Linked DNA regions of Arabidopsis thaliana. The protein of the gene in region 2 interacts with the protein of the main gene of each other region in a pairwise test. Each region holds a gene or a part of one and is shown on either strand. Other genes may lie near its edges.

Region 1 (5,814 bases), on a different chromosome or scaffold from region 2:
GTTTTTCAGATGAACTAATATAGTTGGACTTTTCAAAAACAATTCTAAATCATATTTATGTTTCAATACCGATGCATTTAACTTTACTTTATATAAACAGATATTATATAAAATAATTTGTAAATAGTAATACGTAAACCCGCACTACGTGCGGGTACTCATCTAGTTAAAATAAAAACGTGTATAAAAGTAACTCTCACCTTATGATTTGCTGCGTTTTGCCGCCGGATCTGATGAAGAAAGAGAGAGGGACAAGAAGAGACGAGAGTTTTTAAAGTTTCCATTTACATCTTTTGGATTATGTTTTTAACGATATCGGAGGCTGTGTGTATTACTATATATAGAGAAGCTTTCTTTACCGTTGAGAAAAAGTAGTAACGGATAGTTTCTGAATTTTGAAGTAAGTTACCGTTTCTAAGTTACCGTTCCCGTTCTGACATCTCAACGGTTAAATCACAGTTACCTTGTCCGCAACACGTGTTACAATTAAAAAAGTTTTATTCTTGCTGGGCTGTCGAGACCGGCCCAAACCCATCAATTTGTTTTTTAATTTTTACATGTCCGATATGAGGCTTAAAGGATAAACTGGATTTGATTTAAGGTCCATTATATAGATCAATAAAAGCGTTCAAACGTTATGCGCAACTGTGGTACGTCATTACATGGGAGTTCTGTATATCCGTCATATCAAAACAACTGTAAGAAAGCAAATCAAGCTATATATAACTTATGGACTTTCACCGTGAGCTCACAAACTCATGAGAAACCTTCTTTTCTTTCAAACGAAAGAAGGGTCTTTGAACCTCTTGAAAACGGCGTCAATGTCTGCCATAACTTCCTGCGAAAACGGCCGCTCCGTCATCAGAAAAGCATCAATGTCTTCTTTAAGTTGTTTTACCGATGTGGCCCCGATGATCGTGCTCGTCACAAAGGGCCTGTCACGTACAAACCCGAGTGCTAACTCAACCGGAGTTAAACCGTACTTCTTCGCCACCTCAACGTATTGTATGGTTGCTTCCTGAAATCAGAACAAAGATAAAATTGACCTCAAAACACTTTTACGAATATGGCTTTACAACTAGATTCGAGCTAATACTGTTTCTTAAATTGTTTTACGACATAAGAAGAAGTAAGCATAGTTGGATCAAGAAGAAACCTTGGCTAGTGATCCCTTGTAACGTTCCATATATCCTGGGAAAAGATTCAGCCTTGCATTTTTTGTAGCTTCTTGGTCTGTAGCCAAGTATTTCCCAGACAACGAGCCGCCTCCAAGAGGGGAATAAGCAAGCAAGCCAACATTGCAATTTTTTGGGTGGCATACTTCTACCAGATCAACTGTGGTTTTAACCCAAAACAAAAGAGTTTAGAACATGCTCCTCCGACACACTTGCTCTCAAGGTATTCTAGAAAGATTTACCTTCATACCGACATCTAACTAGCAAGCTGTAACCATTCTGGATGCTCACAATCTTTGGTAGTCCTTCGAGTTTTGCTGTGTTAACAAACTCCGTCACTCCGTATGAAGTTTCATTCGAGACACCGATATAGCGAACCTGTTGCAGAATTCGAGGAACACTTCAAAACTCTGTGTTTGAGGTTATATAACTCAATATAACATCTGATTTTTAAGGAGTAGCACTACCTTTCCTTCAACTATGAGATCCTGAAAGGCTCTTAGTTGCTCAGCGAATGGCACACTAGGTCTCCATTTCGACGTTTCATAGTAAAAATCACCGAAGAGTGGTACGTATCGATCTGGCCTGGACTGAAAAAAAGATCAGTGTCATGATTTTCTGACATTTGATGATGAAAAACGAAATATTTTGCGCATGAAATAGAAAGACACTTGCTCAAACAATGTAGAATATGAGTTAAGACATAAAGCAAAAATAAGGCGATGTTACCAGTGTATTTGAAGCAAGTCAATGTAATCAGTTCCAAGGCGCTTAAGACTTTTCTCAACACTTTCTTTGATATTAGCAGCATCTACACGCAGAATCTCACCACTGTCCCTTATGTAAGCTGACCTTTCTGAGTACCCACATACTTTAGTTGCCAAAACTATCTGTATACAGAAACAATGAACATCAATATCAATTTTTATAACTTCGATTAGGTTTTGCTGATATCATATACATTCGTGACCAATATGCATCCAAAGTATGATAAATGGTTGATACCTTGTCACGTTGCTGAGACTTCAACCAGCTACTGATATAAAGATCCGTTTTACCTTGCGTCTCCTTCTTCATCGGTATGGGATACTGGAAATAAACAATGATACTTGAAAATTTACCACAGACTAAGCAGATTCCAGAAAGCTAAACACAACAGTGCTAAATTCACCAGAATTATATATAAAGTATAAAACATTCACATAAACACTTGCAATCAAATTCACCAGGCAAGAAGAGAAAGATGAACAATGAAGATAAAAACTCACAGCTTCAGCAGTGTCAATGCAATTGATGCCCTCTTCAATTGCATAACTCAGCATCTCATGAGATTCTTTCTCAGTATTTTGCTCCCCAAATGTCATCTGAAATTCCAAATTTCATCAAAACTTCAAAATTGAACAATGGACTACAATTGCAGGAGATAAAGAGAGATTGTTCTTACAGTGCCCATAGTAACTTCGCTGATGTTGAGATCGGAATCTCCTAATTTCCTATACTCCATAGCATTCTTCGTCGACGCTTTCGCCGAAACTCTCAATATTCTCCTCCGAGCATTCGGCGATAGAGTAACACGGCGGCGCGTGAATGCCAAACGAAAGACTCCTCGAATGTTACTGCTGCTGACCACCGGAGTGACCGTTGAGTAGGTGACGTAAGATGACGCCATACCGGAGGTTGTCGTGGACGTGGTTCTTCTCGCCTTATCGCCACCATTATCTACTGTTTTGATTCACGTATTTGAATACTCTGGGCTAAACGATTTGGGCCTAATGTAAGAGGCCCATTAGAGTCAAAAATATATATTGAATAATATCTTGTTTTCCTAATATGATAGGTCTAATCTCAGATTTCGATTTATTTCTTCGAGATAATATGATTATATTAGATGACGTGGCGGTACATCCTTCGATATCTTCGATAAATACGCAAGAGTGAGCTTCACGGTCAGACAAAAGCTGACTCTACGCTCTCTCAAAAGTCGAATATCCCAAATTCGATCCGTTTTCCGGCGATAATCTCCGATCTAGATCCGATGGCGAAAGAACCAGTTCGTGTGCTCGTTACTGGAGCTGCAGGTATAACTTTCATCTATATCCGATTAGATCGTGTAACTTCTAGATCTCTGGCTAGTGAATCGCTTGCTGAATCTAGTCAGATCTCTGCATAGTATCTGGTTGTTCCATAGATCAATGAAATATAGGTCAACTCTTGTTCCGTTGGATTCAACGCTGACCAACGATTGATTGAGTTGGTCGCATATCTAATTTTAGTAAAAGTTATTTCATGGATCGAACTCTGATTTAGAAACCGTTGTTTATATAGTTGGATAGAGTTTAAGTTGTGACTTTAGATCTCCTCAGCTACTGAAAGTAACTATTGATTGTGATTATGCAGGACAAATCGGATATGCTCTTGTACCTATGATTGCAAGGGGTATCATGCTTGGTGCTGACCAACCTGTTATCCTCCACATGTTGGATATTCCTCCAGCTGCTGAAGCTTTGAACGGTGTTAAGATGGAGTTGATCGATGCTGCTTTCCCTCTTCTTAAAGGTAGTTAAGGGTTTTGTTTTGCTGTGGATATTTGCATTCCGTGTCATAAGTTGTTTTGTATAAGTGGGAAAGGAGAAGATGAATATTTGATGTGTATTATTATCAGGTGTTGTTGCTACAACTGATGCCGTTGAGGGATGTACTGGAGTCAATGTTGCTGTTATGGTTGGTGGTTTCCCGAGGAAAGAAGGTATGGAGAGGAAGGATGTGATGTCCAAGAATGTTTCCATCTACAAGTCTCAGGCTGCTGCCTTGGAGAAGCATGCCGCTCCTAACTGCAAGGTGATACGATCTGTTTGCTTTTTAAGTTAAATGAAGCCACTGCATCCAATCTTCTCTGTTCATTGGAGTGTAACAGATGCTTTGTGTTCTCTATTGGGTTCTAGTTTACGACTCTCTTGCTCACACATTCGCTCTCGTTTTGTCTTTTTTTTTTCAGGTTCTTGTTGTGGCCAACCCGGCAAACACCAACGCATTGATCCTCAAGGAATTTGCACCATCAATCCCTGAAAAGAACATCTCTTGTTTGACAAGGCTTGACCACAACAGGGCTTTGGGACAGATCTCTGAGAGGTTGAGCGTGCCAGTGTCTGATGTTAAGAACGTGATCATCTGGGGAAACCACTCATCCTCACAGTACCCAGATGTCAACCATGCTAAAGTGCAGACCTCGTCTGGAGAGAAGCCTGTCCGTGAGCTCGTCAAGGACGATGCATGGTATGTATAACATGCCATAGAACTTAAGACCCTTTCTCTTCTCTGGAAGCAAAATCTAGTTTCACTTAAATATATTGCTCATTCTGTAGGTTGGACGGAGAATTTATCTCTACAGTTCAACAACGTGGAGCTGCAATCATCAAGGCGAGGAAGTTGTCTAGTGCGCTCTCTGCTGCTAGCTCTGCTTGTGACCACATCCGTGACTGGGTCCTTGGAACTCCAGAGGTTCATAATAAAACTCTTCCCCGTTATTTGCAGTGCTGTTTTTTTGTAACAGTTAATCTAATATGAGTTCTTTCTTTGATTCAAATTGTCAGGGTACGTTCGTTTCCATGGGAGTATACTCCGATGGCTCTTACAGCGTTCCATCAGGACTTATCTACTCCTTCCCTGTAACTTGTCGCAATGGAGACTGGAGTATTGTCCAAGGTAAATATGACGCACTTACAAACTCAAATGCTCATCAATTATGAAATCCTAGATTCTGCAGACCCTAATGTGTATTTTGTTTGGTTAGGCCTTCCGATTGATGAAGTATCAAGGAAGAAGATGGATTTGACTGCAGAGGAGCTCAAGGAAGAGAAGGACTTGGCGTACTCATGCCTCTCTTAAACCCTTCTGGAGCAAAATTTTCATCTATAAGGTGTGAGATCAGTTAAAGCCTTTCAGGGCTTTGTCCGAATAAGAAGTGTGTTTGAAAGATCTCCAAACACTGTTTTATAACCTCTTTGGTCTCTTTGATGAGTATTGTCCCTGGTCTGTTTCTAAACCAGGATATCGTTTTTTTCAATGTGTCTGATTTGGTTTACCCATGAAAAGAAGAAAATTGGCAGTTGCATGGTTATCTTTTGCGATTATTTTTTTCTGCTTTAGCAATTAGCCCAAAATTGATGAGCTCTTCGATAATGGGTTTGTGCAATTGTGATTTGTGAGGAATGGTGTTATTGTGTTGCAATTGCAAAAAGAAATGCTACTCTTGCAGATTCATACCAAAACCAAATCACTAGATTAAACTGAAATTCTAATGTGGATTATTTTAATTTTACTTCTATTTTTCTTCACCCAAATATTTTATAACCAAACACCAAGTTGACACCAAAATATACATCCAAAAAACTTAGATTGCTTCTATTTTACGACTATCCGAAATCGAATCATAAACCGTAGGCAATGGTCCATTAATAAGGGGTATACGAGGATTCAAAGTTTGAGAGAACTTTTTTATCTTTACCTTTTTCCTTTTGTAAAGTAAAAGCAGTGGATTTTGATTATAGATTCTACTTGGTAATGACTAATGAGAATCAAGTTCTCACCTTTAAGCCATATAGACTTTAGATATTTAATGGATTCTACAAAAGTGGGCATG
Region 2 (5,814 bases):
CTCATAAGCGAAATCATCTAAAACGCTACACTAAGCGTTTCATCAGTCTCGAGGAACTCACAAACCAAGCTAAGATATTGTTACTTTGTTTGAAATATAAAATTTTGAGAAGAAAAGAAGCAAAGATGAGGATAAATTACCAAACAAAAACAGAGTTGATACAGAGCAGCAGATAACACCAAAGCTGTGCACATAATCTGTCATAAAAAAACAAACTTTTCTTTTCGACAAGTTTTACAGCAAAGGAGGTTGAACTCAGATTTTCGGTTACGGTTGCAGGTACATTACATAACCGTCTTTTCTTCCATTAGACCTTCAGGCCTCATCCATCTGCTCCTGAATAAAGCAGTCGATCATTGAGTTTTGGGGTGTTATTATCCGAATAATCTTATAAGACTATCAATATGCGAGTTTCTGATGATGCAATTGAATATGAAAGTATAGAATTGGGCAAACCTGCATATCGGAGGTCCAAAGGGTTAGATTGTCCCTTAGCAACTGCATGATGAGAGTACTGTCCTTGTATGACTCCTCTCCCAATGTGTCCAGCTCAGCAATGGCTTCTTCAAAAGCCTAGAGGTGATGAATCCAACAAGAACAAGTTAGAAATGCGATGATAAGATGAGCTTTAATAGTCTTATAGAATCTTGTATATGTGATGCATGAGATGTTCCGGATTCAATATGCACCAAAACCCCGATCAGATTCTACACAATCTCGTATGCATAATGTATGAGATATTGTGGTTCTAAAGTCTTGTCATTTTAAGAGATTCTACTGACAAAAGGAATAATTTGGTTAATGTGAAGCGTTAGTCAAAAAAGTTATATCAAAAGAGGACTTTGCAGAATGTCTTTTTCTTTAGAATCTCTGTTTATTAAAAAGAAGTGGGTCCGTTCAGAAAGAAGAAAGAGTTACTTTTTATAAACAACTTGTCTATTTCTGGTAAAGGTTTCAAAATTCCTTCAAATCAACCCAACACAATGAATACAAGATGGGGCCAATAGGAATAGTAAAACAAGTGGTCAAGTTAGTAACTCAAAATGCAAATTACACTCTCCCTAACCAAACTTAAGACAATGATGATCAGACAGAGAAACTCTACTTGAAACAAACATGCAGTATAGTGGATGAAGAAAGAGTACCTGTTTCGCCATGCTACAAGCTTTCTCTGAAGAGTTGAGAATCTCGTAGTAAAACACTGAGAAGTTAAGAGCCAAACCAAGCCTGATCGGATGTGTAGGTGCTAGATCAGCAACTGCAACGTCCTTCAATACAAAAACCCACGAATGAGCAAAAATACATATTTTCAGAACAATTATATATTACTAAGACATATTAGGGAAGCAATTGATCTTAAGCCCAAATAGTAAAAGTTGACTACTTCTAACGATAGGATCAATACAATAGCTAGATTCGAGACCAATTTACTTATTATGAGACAACTGATTACAGATTAGCTAATTGAAGTAATCTCAGAAATAGGGTTTTAGCTCCACAACAGGATCGATTCAAGGATTTAGGGAATCAAAGATATACCTGAGCAGCTTTGTAAGCGATCATAGTATCTTCAGCAGCAGTTTTCCTCTCATCACCAGATTTAAACTCAGCCAAATAACGATGATAATCTCCTTTCATCTTCAGGTAAAAAACCTTAGACTCACTGGCAGTAGCTGAAGGAATTAGATGCGAATCAAGTAACCTGAGAATCCCAGAACAGATCGAAGAAAGCTCAGTCTCAACTTTAGATCTGTAATCCTTAACAAGCGACACGTGTTCTTCGTTCTTCCTGCTCTCTTCCTTTTGCTCAATCGAAGACACGATTCTCCATGCCGCACGAAGAGATCCAATCACGTTCTTATACGCGACCGAGAGAAGATTCCTCTCTTCTACGGTCAGCTCACCGGCCGGTGTAGCTCCACTTACGAGCTGTTCCATGAATTGAACCATCTCTTCGTAACGCTCGGCTTGCTCGGCGAGCTTCGCCATGTAGACATATTGATCTCTGCTTAAGGTCGTCGCCATTAGAGAAGAAGATCTCGCTTTTTTTTTCGATTTCACCGGAAAATTTTGAAATCGGAGGAAATTTCTGGAAGAAAAAAAGAAATTGAGAAGAAGAATAAAAAGCTTCAAAGCCGAGTCATAATGAGCTGTAAAAGGAAATTCTCTTCACTCGCGCGTGATTAACACACTCTGATAAACGACGTCGTTAGTTGAAATAAGGATTAACAGCGTGAAACCCACGTTGAGTGTACGAGGCGCGTGGCTAGGTTTCGGTTTTTTTGATAAGAGCGAGTGAATGGACGATAATAATTTAGTGCGTCAGCTTCCCCAACTAGTTGACACTGTTCAAGGTCAAATGTTAGAATACGGGCTTTTGATTAGGCTTTAGATGGGCTTTTTGAAGCCTGTTAAAGCTATTACCTTGCTGGCTAAGCATATGCGTTTTCGGCGTGACCTGGACACAACTAATGTGGTCGGAGAAAAGGCATATGAAGACAAGAAAAAGTTGTCCAAATTCTTTCTTTCGTTGATATTAATTTTTCTTTTGGTCAATACTCATATTCTTTAATTTCTTATATTGTTGATTAAAGAAAATTAATTATTTTCATTTTCCAATACTTTAAATTTAAAAGACCGGATCAAATTAATTGAATTCGTTTTTTGTGGGTTTTTATTTGTTGATTCATTGTAAATTTCAATAAATGAGAATTGATGAAAATTATGCTATATTAATTTGATTAGTCAAATGAGATAATTGAGATCCGGCAGGACATTTGTTTGGCATGAAAAACAAAATAATAAAGAGTTGGTTAATCAAATGCGACCAAATCATTAGATCGAAAAATCTGAAGAAATCGATTACTCATGTTTTTAATACTGGAAAGTTGTTTAGATTATTTGGGTTAACAAAAATCTGTATACACTCGTAGTTCTTACTAATTTATAACAAAACCTAAATTCTCCAAAACTAATGTAATGCAAATTGATTCTCTGATAGACGCACCGTCACGCGCGCATAACGTTGCCGTTATGGGAGAAAGAAAGGGCGTATCTTCACTTGCCACGTCAGTTTTACGCTAAGCGTAATAAAAGTCGCCGTCACCGTTAATTGACGTCTCCATCCAACGCCGCTCTTCTTCTCCGCTCTCACCGTATATATTTTTTTCCTATGGTGGCGCAATTTTTACTAAACTTACATAAAAAAAAAGGAAGATTAAATAAAAAAAGAGAAAGAAATATAAGAGCTTCCTCAATCGATCTTCCATTTTTCTTCTTCTTCATTGTGAAATTTGAGTCCAATGACTGTCACTGGTCGAATTTTCCACCTGTAGTCAATTTGAAGAAATTTAACCAGTTTGTTCTACTGGAAAAATTTCTGGTTTCACACTTGTGTTGACTCTTTCACTGGAAAAAAAGAAACGAAAAAACTCCGAAGAGTCTTCTCTGGGCAGTGTAAGTAAGCTAATGCATTAACATTTTTTGGCATTGAGAAGTAGATCGATTCTTCAATTTTGTGAGTTTCCGTTCACGATTTCGCTTTCTTTCATGTGAATTTCGTGAAAGAGAGAAAAAGTAATTCTCATCTTTCTTGCTACATTCTCTTTTTGCCGTTTTCACTAGAATTTCGCTTTTGTAGCCTTCGATTCGTTTGATTTCGTTTGATTTCGTTTCAGTTGCTATGTTTTAGGGATTTCATTATAGAACTGAGATTTGATTGTTGAATGTGAATGAAAATTTTGATAATTTTTCTTCTGAAATTTAGGTTAAAAGGTAAGGAGCAATGTTCAGGGAAGCTGGCTTAAGAAACATAGGAGAGGTACGAACAAAAACTTTATCTGCATTTTTCGATGTTGTTTGATTTTGCTGTAACTAATGCTTGTTTTGTAGGATGTTGATTCGAGGTGGACGATTGGTAATCGGAAATTGGATGCTAAGTCTGTTCCCAATGCCAATTCTGGTCATGGTTTTGGATTCAGGAGTGCTCCTCCATTGTCTTCATCAATTAAACCCGTGAGAGGTAATAACAATGGTGGTTCAAGTTCAGACATGGACATTGCTTCTGATTCAGATGAAGAGATATTCGAGAGGCAACACTCTCCTCAAGATTATAGAATTCATCTTGGTTTGCCTCACGTCGCAGCTCAAAATGGACTTGGACGTAATGGTGCTAAGGTCTTTGGTGCTGCTGATGATTTATCTGACTCAGCTACTAGCACTGAAGTTTCATATGTACTTACTTTTTACCCCCTTGTCTCTCGTTTTCCTTTACCGTTTCTAAATATGTTCTGATTTGATTATCATGTTTACAGGAAGCAGAAGCTTGTGGTGTGCGGAACAATATATCTTCACATAATGAATTTGAAAGACGAAATGTTGAGGCTGGAACTTCAGGAAGGACTCTGAACGGGACAAGCACTTCAACAAGTTCATTGCCTCGTTTCCCCACCTTTCATGCGAGGTTTGAGTTACATTGCTGACTTAGATTTTGCTTTCTTGTTTTTTTAATCCTCTGTGATTATTCATTCCATCATTTTTTGTGTGGTTTGAATGCAGTGAGCAAGGTCCATGGTCTGCGATGATTGCCTATGAAGCCTGTGTACGGTTATGTCTTCATTCATGGTCAACGGATAGTGTCAGCGAGGCTTCTTACTTCCTCAACAATGAATGCACCATAATGCGGAATGCATTTAGTTTGCAGAGGTTTTTCCTTCATTCTGAAGAAGAGTTACTGGGAAAGGGACCTTCTGAGTTGGTTACTGAGACGTCTGTTCCAAAATCGAAGAAGACTATTGGAAAAATTAAACTCCAAGGTATACACATTTGTATCTTTTTTCCCTTCCACTGTATTTTACCACTTGTAGAAATCGCAGTAGTGCTTACAAGAGTAAGATTTTGTACAGTTCGTAGAATTAAAATGGGATTAGATCCACCACCTGGCTGTAACATTGCAACACTGACGGTCTCCAAGGAAAAGCTCGAAGTTGTTCGTCACCATATTGTGGAACTGAATTCGACTTTATCTTCTGGATGGAAAGCAGCGAGGAAAGTTCATGTCACTCCCCAAGTTCCTCTAAATGGTTCACTTTCGCGTCAAAGTTTGGCTTACATGCAGGCTGCTGCTCGCTACCTTAAGCAGGTCTCAAAAGCCGTTAAAAAGGAAATTGTTACATCTCACACTGGACCACAAACTTATGAAGCAGTACAAGGTATTTCATTGTACTTTGGACATAACTCTTTGTCTTATTTTCGTCATCAGTATTTGATTCTTTCTGTTTTCAGAAACATATTCATGTTCATTGAGGTTAAAGAGCTCTCCTGAAGATGATCAAATTAAGACGCAACCTGGATCTGGCGAAACGTTTATTTTGTATGTACCCTTGTTTATTGACATGATCTTTAATGATCATTCTTTCTATTCCTTTCTTTGTGGATCTTAGTATTCTTTTCTCTTGTAGCTTACCAGATAGTCTTGGTGATGATTTGATTATTGAAGTTCGAGATTCGAAGGCGCAACTTCTTGGCCGTGTCGTAGCTCAGCTAGCAGCTATGGCTGATGATCCGGTAAGATTCTCTCTCTCTCACTCGCATTATGTTTTCAGATTACTGATTCCATTAGACGCTGAAGCTGAAGATCTTATGTTTTTTCTTTTCTTTCTAAATCAGAGTGAAAAACTGCGATGGTTACCAATATATCATGAACCAGAGCATGAACTAATTGGGAGAATCCAACTTACGTTTAGTTACTCAAGTAGTTTAGATGAAAAAACTAAGTGTGGGTTGGTGGCAGAAACTTCAGCGTATGATCTTGTC
Region 3 (5,814 bases), 8.8 Mb from region 2:
CTTTTCGCTGATCTTGTCATACTTCTGTTTTTTGGTACCCGCACGAAGGCCTTGCCAAGGAAGACTAGCAAGAGAGACTGAGGTTTAGGGACAAATGGAAACAAATTGAAGAAAACTCTAAAATACTGGGTGAAGTAAAGATGTATCTATACCTTCCTCGAAGAAAATACATAAGCACGTAGCCAAGAGATTCCAGATCGTCCCTCCTACTTTGCTCTGTTTAAAGGATCTCAATTTAGTTTGATAAACGTACAAATAGTCAAGTTTTTAATGTGAAAATGAAAGAAGAAAAAGCAAACAATACTCACCAATTCCAAGATGAGTGTTAACACTTGCATATCGAGCTGTTCCAGTAAGATTCTTGTTTTCCCTAATAAGTAACTCTCGATTAGTAAATATATTACCAATATTTCACTAACAATTCGAAAATTTTAAATTGAGCAAAACTTTTTAACAAGAAAAAGAAAAATGTGTACCTGTAGGGAATGTGTCTATGAGTTTGGAGATCTCTATACTTTTTTGCAAGTCCGTAGTCAATGATGTACACCTAGACAAGAACAAAGATGACATATCAGAGAAAAGATGCAAACATATAGAAGGATTCACAAGGTAGTAGCAAAAGAAATTCCAAAACCAAACAAGTATATTATCATTCCACACAATAAAGTTGCATACCATAACTACTCACCTGGTTCGCTTTGCGTCCAAGACCCATCAAAAAGTTATCAGGCTTTATGTCACGATGAAGAAATCCCCGGACATGCATATACTCAACTCTATTGATCTGAAGAAATCAAATCATGAGCAACACAATAACTCAAACATATCAGAGAAAAGGTAGATAATATATCCGTACCATTTGATCTGCGAGCATTAGAACCGTCTTTAGATTGAACCTCCGACTACAATAATTAAATAAATCCTCCATACTCGGACCCAAAAGGTCAATCACCATACAGTTGTATTCACCCTCAACCCCATACCATTTTAGATGTGGAATACCAGCTTCAAGAACACAAATGTAAAAGTTAATAAAAGAACGATAACTGAAGGTTTAAACCGACAAAAGGCAAAACTTACTTCCTCCTTGAAGAAGCATATAAAGCTTTGATTCATAATGAAGTTGAGGATGTCTAGCTCTCGCAGGTTCCTACAAAGAAAAAAACCAAAGTTTTAGTAATCAAGAATGAGTTTTTACACATTACTGAATTGAAAAGGGTAATAGTCAAATGTTGAGACTTACAAGCTTCACAGCAACTTCTTCTCCAGTTTGTACATTAACCCCTGAAAACAAAAGAGTTATTACAAAAGCAAAACTTGGAATTACCAAAAGACAGAAGAAACTTCAAATCACATTACCTAGAAAAAGTTCACCAAATGATCCACTTCCAAGTTTACGTCCAAGCTTATACTTACCACCAACCACACGATCCATCGTTACCAAATCAAAAAGCTTCCTCCTTTCTTCGATCTCTTAAAACAACTAATCCCCAACAAAACCAAAAGTTGACCCAGATCTCAATTCAATGTTCCCTACCTCTCTAAAAGCCTGATCGAAATTCAAAGATCCCCAATTCAAATTCTAGTAAGAACCCTTCAAATATCTGAATCAAATCAAAATTGTAATCGATTCACCAAGTAATCTTATGCTTCTGCTTTAACACAAACTAAAAATCACCCATTGACCAACAACATCTTCATAGAAAGTCTGACACTTTTTTTCAGACAAAAGCTTTAGATCAGATTGAAGAAACACAAAATGAAACGGAAGAGACAAAACCAAAACAAAAAAAAAAGGTGAAAAGAACAAAGAGAGACGAAATCAGACCCAAAAAAAAAAAAAATGGGTCGTTGGATTCGATTATCGTTTGATCTATAAAGACTGCTACGAGACAGCTTGATTCACTATTTTTTTCTCTTTTTTTTTTGCTGAATTTTTTTTTTCTTAAGGAAGATAATGGATTAGAGACGAAACCAAACGTTAAAAGAAAAATGAAAAAGAAATCTGACGAGACGGCCTTGAAGAAGAGATTTTGAGATTTTCTTTCCTTATCCCTAATTTTTTACAACTTTTTATTTTTTTGCTTAACTAATTTGTTTTCTTTTTCTCCAAATTTGATTTATTCTTCATTAACTGTAAACAGTAACGTCACTATATGAAAAAGATGATAATTAATGACATAAAATTAGTTGGATTTTAATATTTTCTAGCATCTTTATTTTCTTCCGCTCAAGCAATATTGATTATTTTTTGGTAGGCCTCAAGCAATATTGATATTTGATTTGAAACTATTACATAAAAAATATCATAAAAAAACATAATATTCTACCAAAAAATGAGTATTTGATAATATATTTTTAAAAGTAAACAAAACAAAATTTGTCTCGAAACTATCAGATACACCATAAAAAAAAAATTGGTACTATTTATAAAATACTATATAATCACTTGATTGTTAAATTTGCTTTTTAATTTTTATTGGTAATAAGAAAAATTATTACTAACTCGATAAACCCTGATATAAAATATTTTATTATGTAGAATAAAGTAATATAATAGAATCGAATTTCGATTGATATTATATTATCTTCTTTTTTTGTTTAGACCATTTCTTCAATAACAGTGTCAAACATATAATGACATGCATTTTCTACAAAGACAGCTAGAACTTTAGTTTTATATATTCAGACACCACTTACAAAAGAAGAAAATATTAATTAAACATGAAAAAAGTAAACATTGAACATCCCCATTTAATTAGGGCTTTACCAAATTAGTCGGTACGATAAACTCGTCTAAACATTAAATGGGCTTAATTAGTTGGGCTTATTTTAACACTAAATTGGCCCATTATAACTTCCCAAAATGATATTGGTTCGAGATGATTCGATAACGTGGGCATCAATCCATGGATCATCTCAGCTTTCACCATCACCAATAAATAAACACACAGGTCTGCTTTCATACCTTCACGCTCTCTCACTGATCATTCACAATCTCTCTCTTTTTTTCACCGGCGATAATTTTCCGATCTCGATTATAAGATGGCGAAGGAACCAGTTCGTGTTCTTGTTACCGGAGCTGCAGGTAAAATTCTTATTTCTCCGATCTTGTTTCTTCCATCTCTCGTTATTGATTCGTATCGTCAGATCTTTATGTAACACCAATTTTTCATAATCCAAAAATGTAAACGATCATTGAATCATATTTTCGATTCCTATAGTGAGATCTGAAGAGAGAAATTGATTGGATCATTTGGTGAATCCTGTTACATTTTGAGATGTAATTGTCATTTTGGATCAGTTATTTGATTTTATCATGATTTGTTCTGATTTTGTAAGCTTTATTTGGCGATTGATTTGTAATTTTGTGTGTAGATCATGTTTAAGTGTGTTTCTGTTATTGTGCAGGACAAATCGGATATGCTCTTGTTCCTATGATTGCAAGGGGGATAATGCTTGGTGCTGATCAGCCTGTGATCCTCCACATGCTTGACATCCCTTTTGCAGCAGAAGCTTTGAACGGTGTGAAGATGGAATTGGTCGATGCTGCTTTCCCTCTTCTAAAGGGTAAGTTTTTATTCTAGTATATATTTTTACTGTGCTCGTATTGGAATATGGTATGTTGCTTGAGGCTGAAATGTGATGTTGGTGTTTTTTCTGTGGAAGGTGTGGTGGCTACAACTGATGCTGTTGAAGCGTGTACCGGTGTTAATGTTGCTGTCATGGTTGGTGGTTTCCCGAGGAAGGAAGGAATGGAGAGGAAGGATGTTATGTCCAAGAACGTTTCCATTTACAAGTCTCAAGCTTCTGCCTTGGAGAAGCATGCTGCACCAAACTGCAAGGTGATAAGTCTTTTCGAATCGTTCTTATGATCATTATGCAGAAATTAAGCAAGTTAATCTCTTATTTTGTTGTATGAGATATTTCATATTTGCTATCTCTTCGTTTTGTAGGTTCTGGTTGTTGCAAACCCTGCAAACACCAATGCATTGATCCTGAAGGAATTTGCACCATCGATCCCAGAGAAGAACATTACTTGCTTGACCAGGCTTGACCACAACAGGGCATTGGGACAAGTGTCTGAGAGGTTAAGCGTACCAGTGTCTGATGTGAAGAACGTGATTATCTGGGGAAACCACTCATCAACCCAATACCCAGATGTCAACCACGCTACCGTTAAGACTTCCGTTGGAGAGAAGCCAGTGCGTGAGCTAGTCAAGAATGACGAGTGGTAAAAATCTCTAAAACACCCTTTTAATATCTCAATCTAGTTTCGTGAATGTGATGCTCATGTATGTTAGCAACTAATGTTGTAGGTTGAATGGAGAGTTCATCTCTACCGTTCAACAACGTGGTGCTGCCATTATCAAGGCCAGGAAGCTGTCTAGTGCACTTTCTGCAGCTAGCTCAGCTTGTGACCATATCCGTGATTGGGTTGTTGGAACACCTGAGGTTCGTCATTACTACTGTTTTATCTCGAATCAATTGGTTGTTTTGTGTACTAAGTAAAACTAATATGTTCTTCGACTTGATTTCTCAGGGCACATTTGTTTCAATGGGAGTATACTCAGATGGATCCTACAATGTTCCAGCTGGACTTATCTACTCCTTCCCCGTAACCTGCCGTAATGGAGAGTGGACCATTGTTCAAGGTAAATATATTTCTCGTAACCAAAAGTTATACACAATGTTCTTAAGAGAATCCTAGCCTAAAGCTGACCCGTGTAACGGAACCGTAAACTGGATTGTCTACTTCTAATCCTAAGTGTGCAAGGCTGGTTCTCGCTGCGATGATTAGCTCATAGAACTAGATATTGGTCTAATATGTGTTGTTGTTATTCACAGGTTTACCGATTGATGACGCATCGAGGAAGAAGATGGATTTGACAGCAGAGGAGTTGAAGGAAGAGAAGGACCTCGCTTACTCATGCCTCTCTTAAACCGGTCTTTTCTCAGCTGGTTTAATCAGTGAAAGCTTTGTTTCGAATAAAGAAGTTTTGTTATAAAATGAACTTTTAATAACCTCATGAGCTTGAGGTTTAGTTTTCCTAATGTGCCCATGATGTGTCGGTACTGATTTGCTGACCAGATATAAACAATCATTTTGATAATTGACCTCTTTTGGTTTCCTTTCGTAACGGGAGAGTGGAGAGTGGAGAGACAACAACAACTCGAATTTTTTGGTAGACTTTTTCAGATATGGGCCAAAGCTTTGTTGGGTATTCTTTTGGCCCATATGAAAAAAATACAAAAGATTTCGCAATTGTGAAATAAACAGCTTAAGAATAGTATTATAGAATAAAATCTCGCAATAATATACTCCATGGTTTTTATGCGATTTAGAACAATGGGATAATACTAAATTAATAATTTGAATTAATTTTACGTAATAATTTTACGTAACATTTATTTTTTAATTTACTATTATTATTTAATTATGCTATTTTTACTATTTACCAGTTCATCCAAATATAAAACCTTATTAGCCTATCAAAAAAAGAAAACGTAAAACCCTATTTCATAGGTTTTTATCTAAAACTAAAACCCTATTCTATGAGTTTTTTCTCCAAGACTTGCAGTCACTTTGATTTATCTTGTAATTTTATTTTTAAATATAATTTTTTTTCTATAAAAGAGCAAATATAGCTGCAGAAGATAATGATTTGTTGGGTATTGTTGATAACTCTTTTTTTTTCTTCTAATTCCTGATGAATTATCGACGGCTTAATTCATGTCCTCTTTTTTTTCCTGGACATTGAATGTTAGTGACAAGTCTATATAGGACCTAAATACATTCCAACCTTAACATTT

What was found.
Region 1: the proteins of GRF8 (region 2) and c-NAD-MDH1 interact in a two-hybrid assay, tested with the Arabidopsis thaliana proteins (one study listed by BioGRID).
Region 3: the proteins of GRF8 (region 2) and c-NAD-MDH2 interact in a two-hybrid assay, tested with the Arabidopsis thaliana proteins (one study listed by BioGRID).

Annotation. Positions count from the first base shown.
Region 1 is NC_003070.9:1,188,664-1,194,477, reverse strand, and holds c-NAD-MDH1 (Lactate/malate dehydrogenase family protein), read left to right. Parts: upstream 1-3,019; 5' UTR 3,020-3,210; coding exon 3,211-3,253; intron 3,254-3,572; coding exon 3,573-3,731; intron 3,732-3,837; coding exon 3,838-4,013; intron 4,014-4,170; coding exon 4,171-4,448; intron 4,449-4,537; coding exon 4,538-4,673; intron 4,674-4,765; coding exon 4,766-4,877; intron 4,878-4,965; coding exon 4,966-5,060; 3' UTR 5,061-5,483; downstream 5,484-5,814. Other genes in the region: AT1G04420 (NAD(P)-linked oxidoreductase superfamily protein), read right to left, coding at 779-1,018, 1,157-1,335, 1,418-1,553, 1,643-1,760, 1,905-2,065, 2,181-2,264, 2,444-2,539, 2,620-2,844. UniProt on the Arabidopsis thaliana protein: Catalyzes a reversible NAD-dependent dehydrogenase reaction involved in central metabolism and redox homeostasis between organellar compartments.
Region 2 is NC_003076.8:26,148,231-26,154,044, forward strand, and holds GRF8 (general regulatory factor 8), read right to left. Parts: upstream 2,247-5,814; 5' UTR 2,026-2,246; coding exon 1,540-2,025; intron 1,269-1,539; coding exon 1,146-1,268; intron 574-1,145; coding exon 400-573; 3' UTR 337-399; coding exon of another isoform or gene 316-336; 3' UTR 152-315; downstream 1-151. Other genes in the region: AT5G65440 (uncharacterized protein), read left to right, coding at 3,785-3,820, 3,892-4,233, 4,314-4,462, 4,558-4,814, 4,905-5,210, 5,284-5,371, 5,460-5,814. UniProt on the Arabidopsis thaliana protein: Is associated with a DNA binding complex that binds to the G box, a well-characterized cis-acting DNA regulatory element found in plant genes. Involved in the regulation of nutrient metabolism.
Region 3 is NC_003076.8:17,387,507-17,393,320, forward strand, and holds c-NAD-MDH2 (Lactate/malate dehydrogenase family protein), read left to right. Parts: upstream 1-2,874; 5' UTR 2,875-3,045; coding exon 3,046-3,088; intron 3,089-3,411; coding exon 3,412-3,570; intron 3,571-3,669; coding exon 3,670-3,845; intron 3,846-3,956; coding exon 3,957-4,234; intron 4,235-4,319; coding exon 4,320-4,455; intron 4,456-4,543; coding exon 4,544-4,655; intron 4,656-4,848; coding exon 4,849-4,943; 3' UTR 4,944-5,235; downstream 5,236-5,814. Other genes in the region: ckl8 (casein kinase I-like 8), read right to left, coding at 1-64, 153-216, 309-370, 477-547, 689-784, 857-1,005, 1,081-1,150, 1,244-1,284 and 1 more.